Lepisosteus oculatus: one gene and its partner. The main gene of each other region encodes a partner of the protein of the gene in region 2 in a complex. Links are inferred from orthologs where the notes say so. Each region holds a gene or a part of one and is shown on either strand. Other genes may lie near its edges. The genes, in order: suppressor of cytokine signaling 6 and kita.

The links.
Region 1: the proteins of kita (region 2) and suppressor of cytokine signaling 6 are in contact, whole or in part, in a crystal structure (PDB 2VIF), measured with the Homo sapiens proteins. The link is inferred for Lepisosteus oculatus from reciprocal best matches to the Homo sapiens genes KIT and SOCS6. Residues at the interface, in NP_000213.1 of Homo sapiens: Asn566, Asn567, Tyr568, Val569, Tyr570, Ile571, Asp572, Pro573, Thr574; in NP_004223.2 of Homo sapiens: Arg391, Glu395, Arg409, Asp410, Ser411, Ser412, Asp413, Ser419, Phe422, Thr428, Leu429, His430, Thr431, Arg432, Phe442, Tyr443, Glu444, Gln445, Val448, His460, Asp464, Ala469, Phe470, Cys471, Tyr472, Ser473, Arg474, Ser475, Arg476, Thr482.

What each region holds. Positions count from the first base shown.
Region 1 is NC_090701.1:53,943,566-53,952,164, reverse strand, and holds the start of suppressor of cytokine signaling 6, read right to left. Parts: upstream 4,195-8,599; 5' UTR 3,809-4,194; intron 3,395-3,808; exon of another isoform or gene 3,274-3,394; intron 2,921-3,273; exon of another isoform or gene 1-2,920. UniProt on the Homo sapiens protein: SOCS family proteins form part of a classical negative feedback system that regulates cytokine signal transduction.
Region 2 is NC_090696.1:78,569,224-78,578,906, reverse strand, and holds the start of kita (mast/stem cell growth factor receptor kita), read right to left. Parts: upstream 3,536-9,683; 5' UTR 3,442-3,535; coding exon 3,378-3,441; intron 1-3,377. UniProt on the Homo sapiens protein: Tyrosine-protein kinase that acts as a cell-surface receptor for the cytokine KITLG/SCF and plays an essential role in the regulation of cell survival and proliferation, hematopoiesis, stem cell maintenance, gametogenesis, mast cell development, migration and function, and in melanogenesis.

The DNA of each region.
Region 1 (8,599 bases), on a different chromosome or scaffold from region 2:
TTACTTCACGTTGATCTGAGACTACTTGATGTCCACCGGTACAGAGGAAAACCACAACACATTTCGTAAGGCCCAGAAACTACATTCCTGTCTATACAAATGTCACTGTATACCACAGGACACTGTCTCTGTGTGTACTGCACCTACTGTTGATGACTTTTAAAAATGGGACTTTCTGTCATCAGTAGCCATATTAAATATTCCAAACACAGCACTGTAATGTAAGCCAGAAGAGATGTGAACACAACATCTCCACTGGACAGCTTAGTCTGAAACACGACCCTTGCAAAAGCTGGCTTATCACTCCTGGAGGGCTATGTTTGTTTTTGTCCACCGCTTAAGTGCTTTAGAGTAATGGGCTGGTAAAGTAATGGTCTTGTATCTGTTTCTCAGTGTGAGGATGAAGCACCTGGAAGACAGCTACATCATAAAGGCCTTCTGAAGGGAGAACCCTGGTGTCTACTTATACAATACACCTGCAATGAAGAAGTACCCAATACACCAATTATGTCAGCAACACACATCCCTTCCATTTAACAGGATAAAAATCAGCATCCAGTCAAAATATTTTTTCTGTCCATTTATGAAAACATACTCTACTTAAAATGCAACGCGTTTCAGCAAAAGAACACTGGCCACACACAAATAACCTTCCTTGGTGTACATATGGTTTGTCCCAGAGCTGTAAGTCTCTATGTTTCTCAACATACCAGAAAAGGAACTACATCACATGAGTAAAAGCCTGCAAAAAATGAGTCCTTCCCCTCAGCACAGTTGCAAAACACCTTAAATGTAAATATGAAGACTGACTGTGAGGTTGACAGATGCAGGCAGCTACAAATCATGAGCCATGAGGAGATGCATGTGCTAATAATTTAACACACTTAGGTTGAGAGGAAACCAAACTTACCCAACCCCTGCTCCACCCATTTGCCCAAGTAAAAAATTAATTAAATCTCCATGTTAATTCTGCCGCACGTCTAATGAACCACACCTCCGCAGAAACAATACTTATGTAGCCAGCATCTACAGCTGACGTATTTCAGATGTGACCAAAGTCTCACAGCCAGCACTGAAACCAATAACTGCTTCCCCTGAACTGTAAAATCATTTGGTGTAATAAACCCTCAGCAGCTTGGGTGTATACAGCAACAAAGTCTAACTCGAAGGAAATACACTGGATAGGAAAACCAAATCCAGGTCTGTCCCTAAAATGTTAAAAAAAATCCTGATAACAGAGCTACCACCATGAGAGTAATATGAAAAGTTTGCTGCTGTCCGAGAAAACTGTGGCGCTTGCAAAACTGAGCAGCTGACCAACACTTTTGAAATTTATTTCAGAAATCCGATCATTCACCTCAAACCTGAAGTGAAACTGGGAGCATTCAGGATCTCAGCAGTTCTATTTCTCCATATGCCACAACATGTTAATAAAAAATGGTGTTTTACTTCTGGTTTTAAAGTGTTTACAGATGTCCCGCAGAGTGTTTTGCACAACCATATATCCGACAGATTAATCTTAAAACAATCAATTTGCAATTTTTAGTCCAAACTTGCTGTTTTACAGAAAGAGAAGCAAACTCTACTGAAGGGCAAAACAGGAAAAGGGTAATACCGTTCATAGTACACAAAAACGTGGACAACAAAATATAGTAATCTAGGAATACGTCTCAGTGCGTCCCAACGCTAGGATACCTAGCATTCATTGTAACACGATCTTGATTATTTTTAACAAACCTTTATCTGAACTGCTTGCTTTTTGACTTTTCTGCCGGGGTTTTAGTTTTAGGGAAAGAAAGAAAAAGCAAGCAAGCATGGGGGCACTCCGGGATTGGGGATTGGGAAGCAGTGCTCGGACGCAGGGGATCTCAATCCCGATCCTGGAGGTCAGGACACCTGCCGGTTTTCATTCCAGCTGAGATCATTACCTAACTGAAGCTTTAAAAGAATTAACGATTTCACCGTTAGTAAGAAGGCAACCCCAAATGTGTAAGAACCGAAAGTGATCAAACAGTTTAAACCGATCTGTTATTAAAGCAATTTAGCATTCACTGTGTAACGGAGCATGGCTGGAACAAAAACCAGGTGTGTGGACCTCCACCATCAGGATTGGGAACACCTGCTCTAACGCGCACAGAAAACCAACCACAGGGCTCTTTCATTCTAAAAGCCACTGAGATGTTAAAACCAATAGTGTGTGGAAAACACAAATTCTTCACTTGAAGTAAAAGAGCCTTACTAAATCTGTGGGATATTCTTTAATCAGTATAAACAAATCAATTAAACACACACCTTAAGTTATCACTGTGCTGACCAACAAACTTCCAACTTGCAAAGTAATCAAAATTAGATAAAACCAAGGTTATGCTCCACACTCTTCTTACTCTGCATACTTAAGTCAGCATTTTTCCCTGCTTCAGCATGAACAGATTTAATAAACAAGAGTGAGTTGATTTACCCTGTTTTAACCACTTCTCATGTGATAATTCAAAGCGTGTGCAAGCCTGAATTTAAAAGTGCAGTGAATCATTTAATACAATTTTACTAGAGCGGGTTTTCACCGTTTATTAAAATTAGTTAAATAAATGTAATTCCTGGTATAAAAGAGATTAAGCTGCAAAATCCTGTCCCTTTTTTGGTTTGTTACTTGACACCAGGAAATAAATCACTTGCTTCGGACGCTGGCTAATTTAAAACATGACTCTGAACACAAGTGGCGTTTAGTATTTTAAGTGGAAATGAGCCTGATGTTACATGACGACAAGATAATAAAACACACCGATCTTTAAAAAAAAACATGCCAGTAATCAGCTACAGCAGTCTGGGATGGCGCATTATTATTAAATTTTACTTTTATGTGATCGAGAGATTACCGAATTATAAAAAAGTAACGATTATAAAAAAAAGAATAGGAGAAAAAAAGAGAGCTTCACAACTTTAAAAGTATGGCGACTTGGCAGAGCCGAATGCATAGAGTATACAGATCACTAGGCCCATACTTTATTAAAAGGGCTCAGTTTATTCTTAAACACCCGACTATTAAAAAAATATTTTATTAAAAATAAATGGTGTTTCTCTAACTTAATTTCCTATCGTTGTTTATCTACGCCTTTGGTAAAAGTTATCCATCACATGTCAAACACAGAGGTCTGTACAAAACAGCTTGGCAGCTCACAGCAGATTCCTGGTAACCGTGTAAGCGATCACATTTAAACGTACAAGCTTTGCAAGGAGTAATATTACCAGCCGGGAAGGAATAACCTGAACACTAACCCCCAAGTTCTCCGCAGGTCGGGCCCACGGACCGGTGGAGCCCGGGGCTCGATTTCGAGTCGAAGGCGAGCTGGAAGACAGGGGCTCGCAGAGGGATCCTCCGATCAGACCCGCCAGTGGCCTTGAAAACAAAATCAATACCCGCTGAAGTGGACGGACACACGTAAGGGATGCGATATGGTCTCGGTCTCTGTTTTTGTTTGGATTTTCGGAAGATGAAGCACCTTACACGGACAAACCCAAGTTTTGGCTCAACACCCACAGGCCGCAACAAAGGATCCCCTGCCAGCTGCCTTCACGTACCGTCTCCGAGCAAGTCAAGCATGAAACGCGAGTAGAAAACTAAACTTGTCTGCGATTAACGTCTGGCTTTCTAAAAAAAAAAAACCCCAAAACGGCACTTGCATTTCTTTGTTTATCCCGGGTTTCCACCGGGAGAATCACCCACGGCCACCACAAAACTCACTCAACTCACAGAAACGCAGCATTTCTTTCAATCTAGGATTTTTTTTTTACTCTTCTTTCTGATACTTACCCAGCTTTCCCCCTTCCGGATTCCCACTTTCCCCACAGGCCGCGTTCTGAATAAAACCTCCCGAAGGTTTAAATCACATTTAAATCACATTTCCTAGTCACCTTCATTCCCTCCCCTCCCCTCCGCACCTCAGTGCTGTTCTGAACACACGGAGTGGATCACAAACTAAACACACAAAACCGGCCGCCCGAGATTCCTGCTGCGCTTGGACGAGAACATTAAAATGATCTTTTTCTGTCCGAGTATGACTACAGTGGTCATTCCTAGCCCAGAGCCCTTTCTGCTTCAGTTCTCTAGGGCTTTGTCAATCATGTCTAAACTTTTTTTCCCCTTCTCTTTCCGTCGCTCGCTTCCTCTGCCTTTGTTGCCTGTTGCATTGTGGGAGAGGAGGGCCCTGGGCTGGAGCGAGTGTTTACTCAAGCAGAACCGTGGCGTGGAGAGCACGCAGGTGCAGTGAGCCGTGCGCGCAGCGTGGAAAGGCGCTTTGACAAAATAGACAAATAGAATACATATATATACGCACACAGGCATAAACTGCATCACATCTGGAAAAAGCAGGCAGTGTGAAGTGTTTCATTCTGCTTAATTGTATGTTACGATAATGTTACACTAAGACCTTAAATGTCTTTAAAAAATACCTCACTGTAGGCCTTGTTGGTGAGTACAAAACAGGGCAGCAGTACAAAACAAAAACCTGAAGTTTCACACCTTCTGTTCCATCCATTTTCTGACTTTTTTCAATTTAATACTGGGCCACAGCCTAACCCAGCAAGCAACGGGCGCAAGGCAGGGTACACCCTGGATAAGTCAGCAGTCCATTGTAGGGCACACACACAAGCCAATTAACTGACGAGTATGTATTGAGACGGAAACCCACAAGAACAGAGGGAGAACATACAAACTCCACACTGACAGCACCTCAGGTCCAGAACTGAACCCAGGGCTCGTGTGCTGCAATGCTGACTTCTGTTCTTCTGTTCCATGTTTGTAAATGCAATGATCTTTCCTGCCCAATTGATAGTTTGCTATAGGCAAAATATTCAAATGTAGACATAAATCTTCTTTTAACGGTTGATCTTAAATCTAAATAATAAAGTTTCACATCCCCTTCTAATAAAATGGATATTTCAAGATTACACATGGCACAATTTATTGAATTGTTTTAAAAAAGAGGTTTTTAATGGTAAATTTAGTTATTTAATGATAGAATAACAAATGTTATTACAATGAGTGTTATCTATACCCCCCACTCTATTATTTGTTTGAACTTTAAAATATATTGCTTTAAAAAGCTGAAACTAATGTATTATTCAACAGAATACATAAAAGTATGTTCCCATAATGCCACATATTGAATACCCACAAAGTATACTTAAATGGTGAATCATGTAATTACTGTACGTTTAAGGCACCAATTCTATTTCTTACATATCTAACCTGAAAAGTGATTCATGCAAGGAATACAGAAAAATCAAACTGAATTTGCTCGTTAAGAGAGACTAATGTAAAAAACAGAAAAACAGACAATAGAATTCTAGTTGCATCTGATTATCTTTCCATACATTGGAGAGGCTGTGATAATGGGGACTTTCCCAAAACAATTTTGGGTAGAATAAGTGGGATGTGTAAAAAGTAACTGAAGGTAATATAATTTCCCTGAGTGTTACTTCAGATTCATCTGTTAACATGAATAGACTAGCATATTCACATTCCAGACACAGAAGGTACATATGCAAAGTCTGGTCATAATTACCAAAGAAAAATAAGGAATATTCACCGTTCTGTAACACCCTCTCTTGTTTTTGTCTTTCTCATCACACTTTAATCACAGTGTGTTTACTAATTAGCCCAAAATAGTGAACAAGCCACTAATGTAATATTAGTAACTTGAATGAAGAATACCAACCATATAAATAACATATGCATTGTACTTTCAAACATCCATACTTGGAATGCTTACAAATGTGCTGCCTTGGCTTGGAGGAAATCACAAAGAAAGGATCTTCCTCTGTTAAGCAGCGAGACCAACCTGAAGCTCTGACTTGCACCCTGTGACACTGCTGGCAGCTGGCCAGACACAACATTGCAGTTGTGCAGCCTGGCTGCCTCCCTTGGGACTCTCAGGCCCATTCAAGTCAGCAGGACGGCAGCTGAAGTGTACCAGCTCCCGAGTTCGAACCCTCCTGGCACGGGCCTCTTCAGATGAGCCACCTAGAAATACACATTTTCTCAATGAGACAGATTAGGAACCTATCCAGAAGAAAGAAACTGTGTGACAGAAGTCCCTTTAAATATGAATAACAGTTGTGGGGGACTGGGCGTATGCACTATGAAGACATCCATCCATTCATTTTCTAACTACTTATTCTATCTCGGGAAGCAACGGGCACAGAGCAGGATACACCCTGGATGGGATGCCACACAGAGACAAATGTGCACACACTCACACCAGGGCCAGTTTTCCCAGAAACCAATTAACCTACCAGTATGTTTTTGGATTGCGGAGCACCCAGAGAAAACCCACAACAACAGGAGGAGACCATGCAAACTCCACGCAGATAGCACCACAGGTCTGGAGTTGAACCCAGGGCCCCAGCACTTCAAGGCAGCTATGCTAACAACTACACCCTTGTGCCACCCCTGTGAAAACATATATTTTCAATACTCATGTGTGGCAAAACAGATCTGAATTGGTTCCGATAATAACGGTCGGAAACAATACAGAAAACAAGGAATGGTTACCACAGTCACACCGAAAGTTAGCATTAAGTAGGTTAAGCATTAAGTGGTGCAATTACTCCATTACTCATTTTAAAAATGTTAAATTTATTTGACAATAAATGGTTTCTTTCCACAGTCCAAAGACATACTGGTAGGTTACTTGGCCTCTAGGTTATTTGGTCCATGGTGTGAGTGCGTGCATGCCTGTGTGTGCCCTGCAATGAACTAGCATCTCATCCAGGGTGTATGCTGCCTTGCGCCCATTGCTTGCTAGGTAAATCTCAAGCCTCCCCATCAATTGCTTTAGATAAAGAGGTTAGAAAATTGATGCACGTCTGCAATTGATTATCAGTGAACTCAAGGTGTCAAACTATCGGTTGATTCTTAAAGATAGAAATCTGAAATAGTGTGAACAGCCTGCTGATTTTAGGAAAGCTGTGCTGGAGATAAATCAGAGTAAACCCAATGTTCTTCTGTACAGTGTGGATTTAAGGAGGCTTCAGAGCTCCAGAGTGAACGTTAGGAAAAAAACTCCCAACATAAAATGAAGCAGATGAGAGCCAGTCTTCCAATTCCTAAAGATCTGGGGAAAGAAACATGACAGAGCCACAGCAATCAGCGTATTACTGAAGAAGTCAAAGGAGATGCAAGCACAGGGGTGATTATAGAGATTTTCCGCAAAAGGTGAAACTTAAAATCAGTTGATCTCTCGTGGAAAAAAAGGAAAAAGATAATGGCCAACTTCCCAGGTAATTTAATAACAAACTTTAGCAGAGATTATATTTCAATCCATTAAGAAAGCTAAACCTGTGAACAATGAAAGGTCTTTTTAAAATCACAAAATACAGTATAAAGCTGGTAAAACCAAAATAATACAGTTAAATATGTGGAGTTGGTGTGATACCAATGATTAAATGAGAATTAAACCTCTAATGTATTAAATCAGATTAAGGAATTTAAATGCTGGGATTTTAAAATAAGCAAGATTTAAGAGGTGGCACCAAAAAGAGTGAGGAGGAATTTAAATATGGAACTAAAGAACCCTGTTCATTGACAAGACATGTGGTGTACTGTTACAATGTCAAGCATGCTTTTGGCAAGGACAGAAATGATAGGAAATCAAACAGAATATAATAAGTGAGAAACAGAGACCAGTACTTTACTATCTATCCTATTTTTATACAAAGGAATGTAAGGCTAAAATGCTATCTTCAATGATAAACTATTGCTATTATATCATGTCATTAATAAGTACTGAGTGCAGAAATATTTAATAAAGTAGTAATAATAAATGCCAATCTTCACCAGTGCAAGTGCACACGATTATTAATTGTAAAGGATAAAGCTCTAGGTGTTAGAAAATGTTTAGAAGTCGTTTTTGAATCACGGTGCTTGTGAAAATTATGAAAATTATCAACATTTAAAGGAAACAATAATTTTATGAGGCACAAACTTCTAGACTACAGCCCTTTTATTTAATACCTTTTTAATATTTGTGTACTAAAACACTGTAAAACTGCATCAGATTTTCGCCTCTTAATCACTAATCTAATAATTAATCTAATCTACAGTCAATTAACCTGTTTGGGGTATGATACTTTAAGAAACGACATAGGTAATGTTAACGCTTGCATTCCCTTTAGGCTGTTCTGATTATTTTCTGAATATATGACACAACAAAACTCCATGACAGCTTGTGTGTCTTTGAGGTTGCACACACAAAGATTATATGTGAGAATGTAAAAAACACAAGGGTTTGCCAGTTTTAATCGCAATACACCACAATTTCATTGACAGAGGGAATGTTGCTGGCAGGAGCATCACAATTTAAATTTGCTTTACAGATTGAACAGAAGAGCAGCCTTGTGATCCTTCTGCGTCCTTGTTTTCAAGATAATATAGATTCATTAAGTAGGGGCGCATGACCTGAATGTATTATGTGACCCACATCACAAATGCCTTTCAAGACTAATTTTCTATCTTGTACAGACGATGAAATGATATGAAAGTCAAATAGAATAAATGGAAATTTATCCCCTCCAATTTTTAACTTAGATTTATCCAAGATTC
Region 2 (9,683 bases):
GCAGCCATAGTGCGCCAGAACGCTCAGAAAAATTAATTTAGGTTCACAAAATTACCTATTAGAAACATAATTAGTAGAGTGGTCTGTGTGCAATAAAGGTGGTTTAGATGGTTTAAATATAAATACAACTACAGTATCTTTGTAAGGTCTCTCGGGAAGATAGTGGATTTCAAGCAACAATTTAACCATGAAGACCAATGGGGTTTCAAAACAAGTCAAGGATAAAGCTGCATAAAGGCGCAGACGAGGAGCAGAATATGAAAACAAAGACCGTTAATGTCTCTTTGAGCATGGTGAAGTCAATCAGTAAGGAGTCGAGGGCAGCCAGACACTCCATAGATCAGCCTGTCCCTCCAAACAGAGCAGCTAGGCAAGGAGGAAACTGGTGAGGGATGCCAAAGGGAGCTCAATGGTGACTTACAGAGTTACAGAGTTCACTCCACAATGAGGCTTGTATGGAACAAAAGAGAACATCTAAAATCTCCTCATGGGCTTTGCAACAAAAGCCTTAAGTGATATGCAATCATTTAGCGAAAGGCTTTGTGATCAGACAAGAAAAAACTGGACCCTTTTGATCTACATGCCAAGTGTTATATCTGACACAAATACAACATCGATTATCACTCAGTCAAACCCACCCCTGTCGCCAAGCATGGTGGCAGCACCATGTTATTCTTCTGCTTCTCATCAAAAGAAGAAAGCTGATGAGAACATAGACAGAGCAAAATACTGGCAAATCTTAGAGAAAAACCTACTCGGATCTAAAACGCAGACAAAAATTACTTTTCCGCAAGATATACTAGAGAACCAAAGCACAAGGCTAAAGCTGCAATTGTGTGGCTTTAAAATAAGAAAGTTAATGTCCTTGACTGCCCCATGAAAACATGTACAAATTATTTCAACATCTGTAAATACTATACACATATGGAAGCTACTGACTGAAGCTGTAAATGAAAGGTCATTGATTTCTTTGTTCTGCAAAATCCTGGATTCAAGTTAATTATGTACTGAATGTTATAAAGACAGACAACAGACAGCCTGACAGGATACTCAGCCTGCACGCAACTGTGAGGGATAAATAGTGGAATAATTTCAAGGCAAACAGATTTATGTTATTTTCACTTTCAAATAATAGATTAATTTCCAAATGTAGAGCAGCACTGTGCTACAGTGGTCAGCATCGCTGCCTCGCAGCACTGGGGTCCTGGGTTCAATTCAGGACCAGAGGTGCGATCTAGAGCGTGCATATCATTCTCCACTTGTTTGTGTGGATTTCCTCCCATAGTCCAAAGACATACTGGTGAGTTAACTGGCTTCTGGGAAGACTGGCCTTGGTGTGAGTGTGTCTGTGTGTGTGTGGCCTGCGATAGACTGGGTGTATCCAGGGTGTATCCTGCCTTGCACCCTTTGCTTGTTGAGATAGGCTCCATCTCCCCCACAACAACGTCCTGGATAAAGCAGTGTAGAAAACAGACTGATGGACAGATTCTAAATGCCTAATTTTAGCTCTAAGGTTTACCCTGCGTACCCTCTAAATCGGAGGGCTAATAAAAAGTCCACAATGAACAATCGTGACCATCGGACTTGCAAGGACAAGACAAAAGACTATATTCAAATCATGTATTGCATGACAATTACATTACAATTTTGTACATGTAAACATGTACAGAGTTGTAAATTCCGCAGACTAGGTTTGTTTTGCTTGCTCCTCCAGTCACACACCTTCCGCCTTTCCTCACCGAGTTTGCAACTGTTTAAAGATCCAAAGAGAAAAAGATTGTGCAGTCAAAAGCACATAAGAACACACTCTTTGTCATTTTTTGATACAAGGGCTGGATGGCTTAACTGCTTTAAAACTACTAATGCAAGATTATAGCCTCGCAAAAAGTCAGATTTGTAGCATTAGGCTGTGGGATAAGACGGTGTTTCTCCAATACAGACTAATTAGATACTTGTTTAAATGGGAAGCCTGTTATTACTGCAGAGAAAAACACTTTGGGGATTTAGCTTGTGAGCGAAAACAGAAGCATACATAAATTCACGCAGTCCTGTCCTCTTCCGTGAAGTCCTTGATGACCAGACTGATACAGCTTGGACACTGAGCTTTAACTGTCTCCACGAATGTAACAACAATCCCTGTCTTCAAGAGAAAAGAAATACGTCTGCTCCTTTACATCAGGCTATGGTATATTCATTTAGATTTGCTCAAATTACCGCTTCACTGTCCAGCCAAAGCGCTCTGACTACTCGTACTACTAGTATCACGTTTCCAAACCGTTTTCCTCAAAGGGGCTACGGTTGCAACTTTAATTTAGCAAAAGCTTTGTTGCTTTTATAATGAACGTACGTTACTATCATACGAGTTGCAAGCGCTGGAAGTTTGTCTTGTGTAAGGCGTGATCCATTCACTGCCGAAATGAAACACTACCTACATCCGTGTCCAGGCAGTTTTTAAAGCACCCTTAAAACAAATACGGCCGCTCCTTGATGCTCCACCTCCACGTTACCTGTCGTACCTAACAACAAAGTCAGTCTGCTCCGAAGCGCCTTTTAATAACATGGTATGTTGTGCAGCAAGCATGCAAATGTACTTTTGTATTGTAACGACAGAAAAGAAGGAATCGATTTCTTCATGTAAAAAGTGGTTAAATAGATCATTTACGAAGAGGAGAATGGAGAACACACAGCATTTTAGTGATATGTAATTTGTTGTACAATAAATGTTTTAAATTATTAACGAATTAAGCTGTTAGTCGAATTCAGCGCCAGCACCCCTGCCGATGCGCTTATCCTGCTACGTAAGCCAGTGGTGTCGTGGAGTACGACATTCATATTACAGGTGCTCTGTTGTAATGTATCTCTTTATAACTTTTTGTAAATATTAAATAAAAGAGCAAAAGTCTAAATACATGTAACATTTTTTCCACAACTAGCAAACAACTGTTACATTAATGAACTGTAGTTTTTTTTCACCGATATCATAAATAATTCACTATATTATATGCATGAAAGAATAATGTAACTTTAGGGGTTAAAACTAATATTTTATAGAGTCCTGTGCTGATAGATGTTATTAATCCAGTTCACATAAATTTAAAATGAGAAAGTGCTTTCCTATGTTAGGTGCAGAGAATCGAAACAATTTAAAGTTAAATTATACACTAACCATTTGAGATACACAAACAAGATTTTGACATCCCCAATTAAAGTAACTTCATCCTCTTAAAAAAAACTTTAGTTTAAGTTTAGTTTAATGTAATTAAACTTAGATTTCTTAAAGTGAAATCCTGCTCCGTTCAAGCATCACTGATAAATCATCAAATTCCTACAACACGCATTAGCGACTTCAGCCTGCTTTCACCGGTGAAGAACCCTACCTTTTTCAAACCATAACAGCATCAAGGTAAACAACGAAACCCAGGTATATCCCATTGTTAACATTCCATTTATCTGTTTGTCCACCTCTCTGCTATAGATCTGCTTTGTCGCCTGAGTTGCGCAGCACTTAACACTACAGCCTGCTTCGTTCCACCTATTCAAGTCTTAAAGGCGCAGAACACTTCCTACCAGCAGCCCTTCAGTCTGTCTCCAAGACACCACCGCAGGAAGGAAGAAAGAAGAAAGTTCCTTTAAACGTAATATGATTGGCTTAATTGGATAATTAAATTGTTTTACAAGACTAAGTTACAGTACTGCAAAAAAATTAAACGAACTTGTAAATATATCAATAAAACATTAACAAAATAAACCTCAGCTGCCAAAGTTTATTTTTAATGCTAAATTCGTGTATTTTAATACACTAGTTTCTTACTGTCACCTCGAAAGCAAACTAGTCAGTTTTTCTGTACCCTGAAACACTGGGCACAACGGAAGTGTCCCACAAGCAGGGATTTTGTTATTCTAGTTGACCTCGTATAAAATACATATTTTATGTGGACTTTGTTTAGTTACAGTGTATAAGTGACACCTCACATAATGATTGGGCTTTGAAGTCAACATTTGCAGATCTCAAGGATATGATATCTTTGCATTGAATCATTCATCTCTAATATCTGCAGTATAATTTTATAATCAGTATGACAATTTTCTGTGGTTTGTAATGCTTTGATCATCTTAAGTAGTGAAATTATTAAAGATGCTTATAGTGTCAGAAAATGAACTTTGTGACCAAATTCCTGTCTTTCAGTTCCTTTTTTTGTTTGTTTTTGACTGGTCTTTCACACCAGAGGTGGTGGCTGCCAAGGTGCTTGACTGGAACAAATATGAAACTGTCTGCAGAGCTCAGTGTCTACCTCGGGGTAAAATGCACTTTAAATATGACAATATTTTGTTAAAAAATAAGTTACCTTCATAGTAGTGGTTGCAAACAACTCCAAGAACTCGGTGCTTCTAAAGCCTCTTTTCACAGTATGTCAAATTCTCAGTGAACACAGTGTCTGCTGATTTGGAATTCACGTTCCTCTTATTTCTGTGCAGATGAATTTTTAATGATGTACAAAATTCTGCCAACAGCTGTAGCAGATATCCTTCTTTAGTACAACTGTATAAAAGGATTTGACATCAGGGCAGACATGATGACATTTGCCCACCAAGTGTCTCTCTGGGGGCTGAGACATAAGCAGGTTTTATGACTTTGAACAGTGATCCAGGAATCTGTGTCCAGGAGCTAATCTGTCTTCTTTTCAACATAAATATGTAAAATACAATTAGTTCCCAAGGGTATAAGCATATGTTGTCAGTTATTTTACACACTTATTAAGAAGATCAAGTGTGATCAATACATGTCGCACACAATTTAAAAAGATAAAAACTATGGTTTTTAACTCTACTATAATTGTACTGTATATATATATAATGTTCTATATAGTCAATTCATTGGCCGTGTATATTTGTTTTGTTTCAGTGGATTGTGGGATTTTGAACTGCTGGGTGGGGGACACTGAGGTCTATTGGTATGTCATTAACTCTGTGGATATTTGTGTTTCTGTGCTGAACAGCTGTGTTTTCATGTGTATGTAGTGGGTTAGGCTCCTTCAAGTTAGTATAGAAAACCAATGTTGTTAGTGAAAATGCAAAGGGTAAAACATCTTTTTTAAGAGAATCAGAATAATAATGAGGATAAAGGTCAGAGTTCTTCAACATTTATTATTTCTTCCTCATAAAATGTGCTTCCATTCACAAAAGCAACAACATTTTATGAAGTAGTTCAAGTAGGAGGCTGCATCAGCATGCGTAGCAACAACAAGGACACAGGCATGCCTACTGACGTTCATGTTTGCATCCATCCATGCAGTATCCCAGTATCTATAGTGTATACAGTAGCTGCCATTGCCAATGGCCAAAGCCAAACATAATATAAATGTCAGGCCTACATTTTAAAAGAAATCTGTTGTATCTTCCATCATAAATTTGCCATTTCACAGTGAGGAATTTTGGAAGTGTTGACCGGTTGTTCTGAGTGGTTTTGGGGATACCCAAGGGGAGACAGATATTCTTCACATACTCCCATGAGATACCATCCTTTTGCCCAAGTTCCTTGTAGTGTTTTGGTGACACATATCTGTCAAGGCTGCAGGGTTTACTTAATATTAGGGTGTATTGAAACAAGTAGTATTCCATGCTGAAAAAATAAGAGAGAAAACACAACATTTTGGCTGTAAAGCCTTCTTCAGGTGTGAGAAAGACAGGGCAGACAGCAAAGATTAAATAGCACGAAGAACAAAAACTGAGAGAGGGGAGGAGGCGGGAGGGATAGAGAGGCAGAAAGGCCACTCAGGAAGTGCAAAGTGTAGAAAGGTGAAGAAAGGTGTGAAGTCAAAACCTGCATGAGAATAGAGAAGATTACACAAAAATAAGTTGGTCATTGAGAGAAGGGGGAAGGTGTGAACCTAGTTTCAGGTTGAGTTTTGTTTCTGTTGTCTTTCTTCTATGAGAATTGAGAAACCCTTCTTTGAGAACAGAGACAGTGAGATCAGTGTGATCATGGCCGTCTGAAGTGAAATGAGAAACTATGGGCTTGGAGAAATCTTTAATCTTCACAGCCTGAACATGTTCGCTGAAGCGGTCTCCTACTTTCCGGTTTCTCCAACATAGATAGCTGGGCATTTTTTGCAGGACATACAGTAAGTGAGGTTGCTGGAGGAACAGGATGTTGTCTGGGTGATTCGGAATTGACCTGAGGGGCCCTGAATGAACGTGTGTATTTGCCGGTGATGTAGCAAGTTCTATTACTGGGGAAGGTGCCGAAGGTGCGCTCAAGGGAGCTGAGAACCAGATGTTTACGTAGATTGGGTGGTCGGCGGTGTCACGGTCATCATCCCTCCTCTGGAGGGCGCTCCGACCTTTTAGTATTAGTTCCATGATTGCGTGCTCCTGTCTCCTGTTTTATCCGTCACTATAAAAGTCATGTGCCTCCTAAATTCTAGGTTCAGTACTGGAAGAGGAATGTCTGAAGGCCCGACTATCCACCATGCTCAGGAGAAGCCCGAGGGCAAGGCCTTTTCCCCAGGCGTCCTGACCATCTGAGTCTGGGTCTCGGAGCGCCTTGCTTCGTTATGGTTTTATTTTCCATGTTCCTGGATTCCTTTTTTCCTGTCTTCATCTTGGATTGATCTCCCAGCTGCCTGGACTGTATTTCCCTTTTGGACTCCCAATGGACTTGTTCAGAACCACCCCCTGTCAGTCCTCCCATCCATTCTTCTCTGAGTCTTCCCCATTGCTCTTTTCCAGTCACTTCCAGATTATACCGTCTGCACAGGGTTCTAAATACGCACTACACGGGAGTCAAGACCGGCTCCCGTGACAGGCCGTATGAGATGATTGGGCGGTCAGAAAAAAGGGTATCGATGAAGGGATAACCCTGTAAAATGGAGTAGTTGTTAATAATGGTCCTGGGGATAGAAAGTGTGTTAGAGTGGTAAGGAAGCACCAGTGGAATGCGGTTGTGAGACCAGAAGTGGTGCATTGATTGCAACATGTGGAATCTCACAGTGGTGTGGGGGATTTCATCCTGAATTTGGCTGCGATGTGTTAATGTGTTCAGTCATGTTGTTTTATCATTATGGAGGCAGAGTCTAGAGGCATCTGTGAATGACATAGTCTACACAAGACCCAAATAATTTCGTAGCATTAAAAAACAGGATCTGATACACAAGACAAAACCAGCTAAAGTACACACTCAGAAGTCAAAGACTCATGATGTTTTTGTTAATAAGGCTGCAAAAACTTGCCACGCAGAAAAAAGCTTAAGAAATGAGAGGGAACATTTCTTTTCCATTTTTCTGCCAGTGGAGTGATGATCCAATAGGCTCCTCTTGCCTCTTCCCCCAGACTCGTCCACTGCTCACATGTCTCTGTGGGGGAACTTGCCTCCTGTACTTGTTAATAATCTCTTTGATGCCTGTCCTCCTGTCTTGAAGCACTTCAGGAAACTATACCAAGGAACTATTCCTGTTTTTAGTTGACATAGACATTGTTAGATAATGTATCTTTACATTATATGTATATATTTGTTCATTGTATCCATACACAATTTCTTTAATGAGCAACATACAACAAAAATACAAATAAAGATCAAAATTTTAGTTCATAACACCAAACAACAGAGTGAGACAAAAATCTCAGAGAACAGTAAGAAAATGTCTAACGTCTTTGATTGCAAAGAAATTCAGACAACTTCACAGTCAATCATTTTTAACGTTTTGCAGGCTTTGGATGATTTAAGGTCTCCAGTGATTTCAGGGCTGAAGGGGAGCAGCTGTAGCTTTCCTTGGTCTCCTCTTGGCACCTTCTGGTCTGCGGTCAAGTGCCCCTGCCCTCCTTCCACAGCCCTCCCGGGTGTTAATTGTCTCAGGAAAGCCCACAGTGCATTTGAGGGCACTTATTTTCTTACCACATGTTAAGTACAGGTTACATTTGAGAACCTTATGATTACTTGTTGCTTAACACTTCAGTAAACACAGTCTGACACAGTGATCATTAACCTGCTGAGTGAGTTAATATGCAATTTTATGCCTTGTTCTTTCTCTTCCATGTCCCCAGGTTCCCTGTTTGATATCTAATGTATAGAAGCTCCAAGAGCTGTTTCATCTGTCATCTGTGGTTTATGGGGATATGACTATTAATCAGCTACCACTGTTTCACAAATGGCAGCACCATTTAAAGAGATTTTTAATACTTCATAAGTAATGACTGCCAATTAATATGAATATATCCCACAATTCATAGCCTCTAAACACAATTACTCAAAATATTGAGATTTATTATATCACACTTGAATATAAAGTTTGTTTTAAATCCCAGCACATCATTTAAAACACATATTGTTTTAAGTGTGGGTTATACAACTGTAAAACACATTTTGTTTTAGATCTGTATTCTACTTTAGCGTAACTTTCATTTAAGGCTAAATGTTAAATAATGATATTAAATCATTTCAATTTTTCAGAAATTACCAGCTAAAAGAGAACGCCTAGGGCTTTTTTCAAAATAAAATTAACATTCAAACCACAGTGCCCACACAAAGATTCGATTGTGCTGTTTTACACCAGCTTTTCGTAGTCCAGCACATGGCTTGAGGGTACTACCAAACTGTATTTTTGTACTGGGTTGTTGTCTCTGTCTTTGCCTTTCACATGACAAGAGTCCAATATATTCCACAAATTTAAGCTTATAAAGAGTTTCTATTGTCTTAAACCTATCACGTGACTCCTGTAGTCTTTGGCTATTTTTGTAGGGCACAAGTTGTGGTGTAACTAAAACCTCACAACCACACCCGAAAGCAGACAGGCTGAGAAGAACCCCACAGCCTTCATTTCTGCACCAGCATCTGTCCAGAAAGATGGAGAGATATGAGGAAGATTACTATTCATTTTCTTCTATTCGTTTTGAGGAAAAAAAGAAACATGAAATTACATATGCTTTAAATGAAAAAGAAAAGGAAAAGTTGAAGGTCACTACATTTCACAAAATAGCATTTTTAATTCTTAGGAATAATGACAGTTTTAAATGAAAAGAGGTCATTTGGCCAAGCTAGTTTGGTTGCTAGTAGCTAATTAATCTGAGAACATCATCTATACATTTTCTAAAAGAAGCCAGGGTATCCAATTCAATAGAATATAATTTTGAATTGTTTGTCTTTTTCATGGATGGATGCTTCAGTGAGAAAACACCTTGATTTGCTAAATAGTAACCCTTTTGGTTATTTAAGAAAACACCAGTTTTATTCTAGAGTACCATGGTAAGAAATTGTAATTCCCACAATTATATTGGGGTTTTAAAAATCTTAGCAATTTTCTAAGCCATAGGTACTTCCCCTGTACTGAGTGACTGGTGATTGTTCTGCTAACAGTCTTTGGTACAAGTGAGTTTGCAAAGGATCCTTTCTTGTGTGAAGGATTCAAAACACTGCTGCACCTGTATTACAATGAGGTCACCACAGACCGTGTCACTCCTCCTAAAACATGTCAGTTTTCACTTCTTAAAATAAAGACTGTAATACGCTGCACACAAAATACTTAAGAGAAAAGAAAATGCTTTTTTAATCAGGTATCCACCCTGTTTGCTAAAATGAAGATATAAGTAGAAGTTAAAACTCTCGTGTGATCACTTTGTTTTGTTAGGGATTAAATGGACACTGTTCAAACATTTACTTGTAATAGTTGACAAGCAGAACATTTCAACAC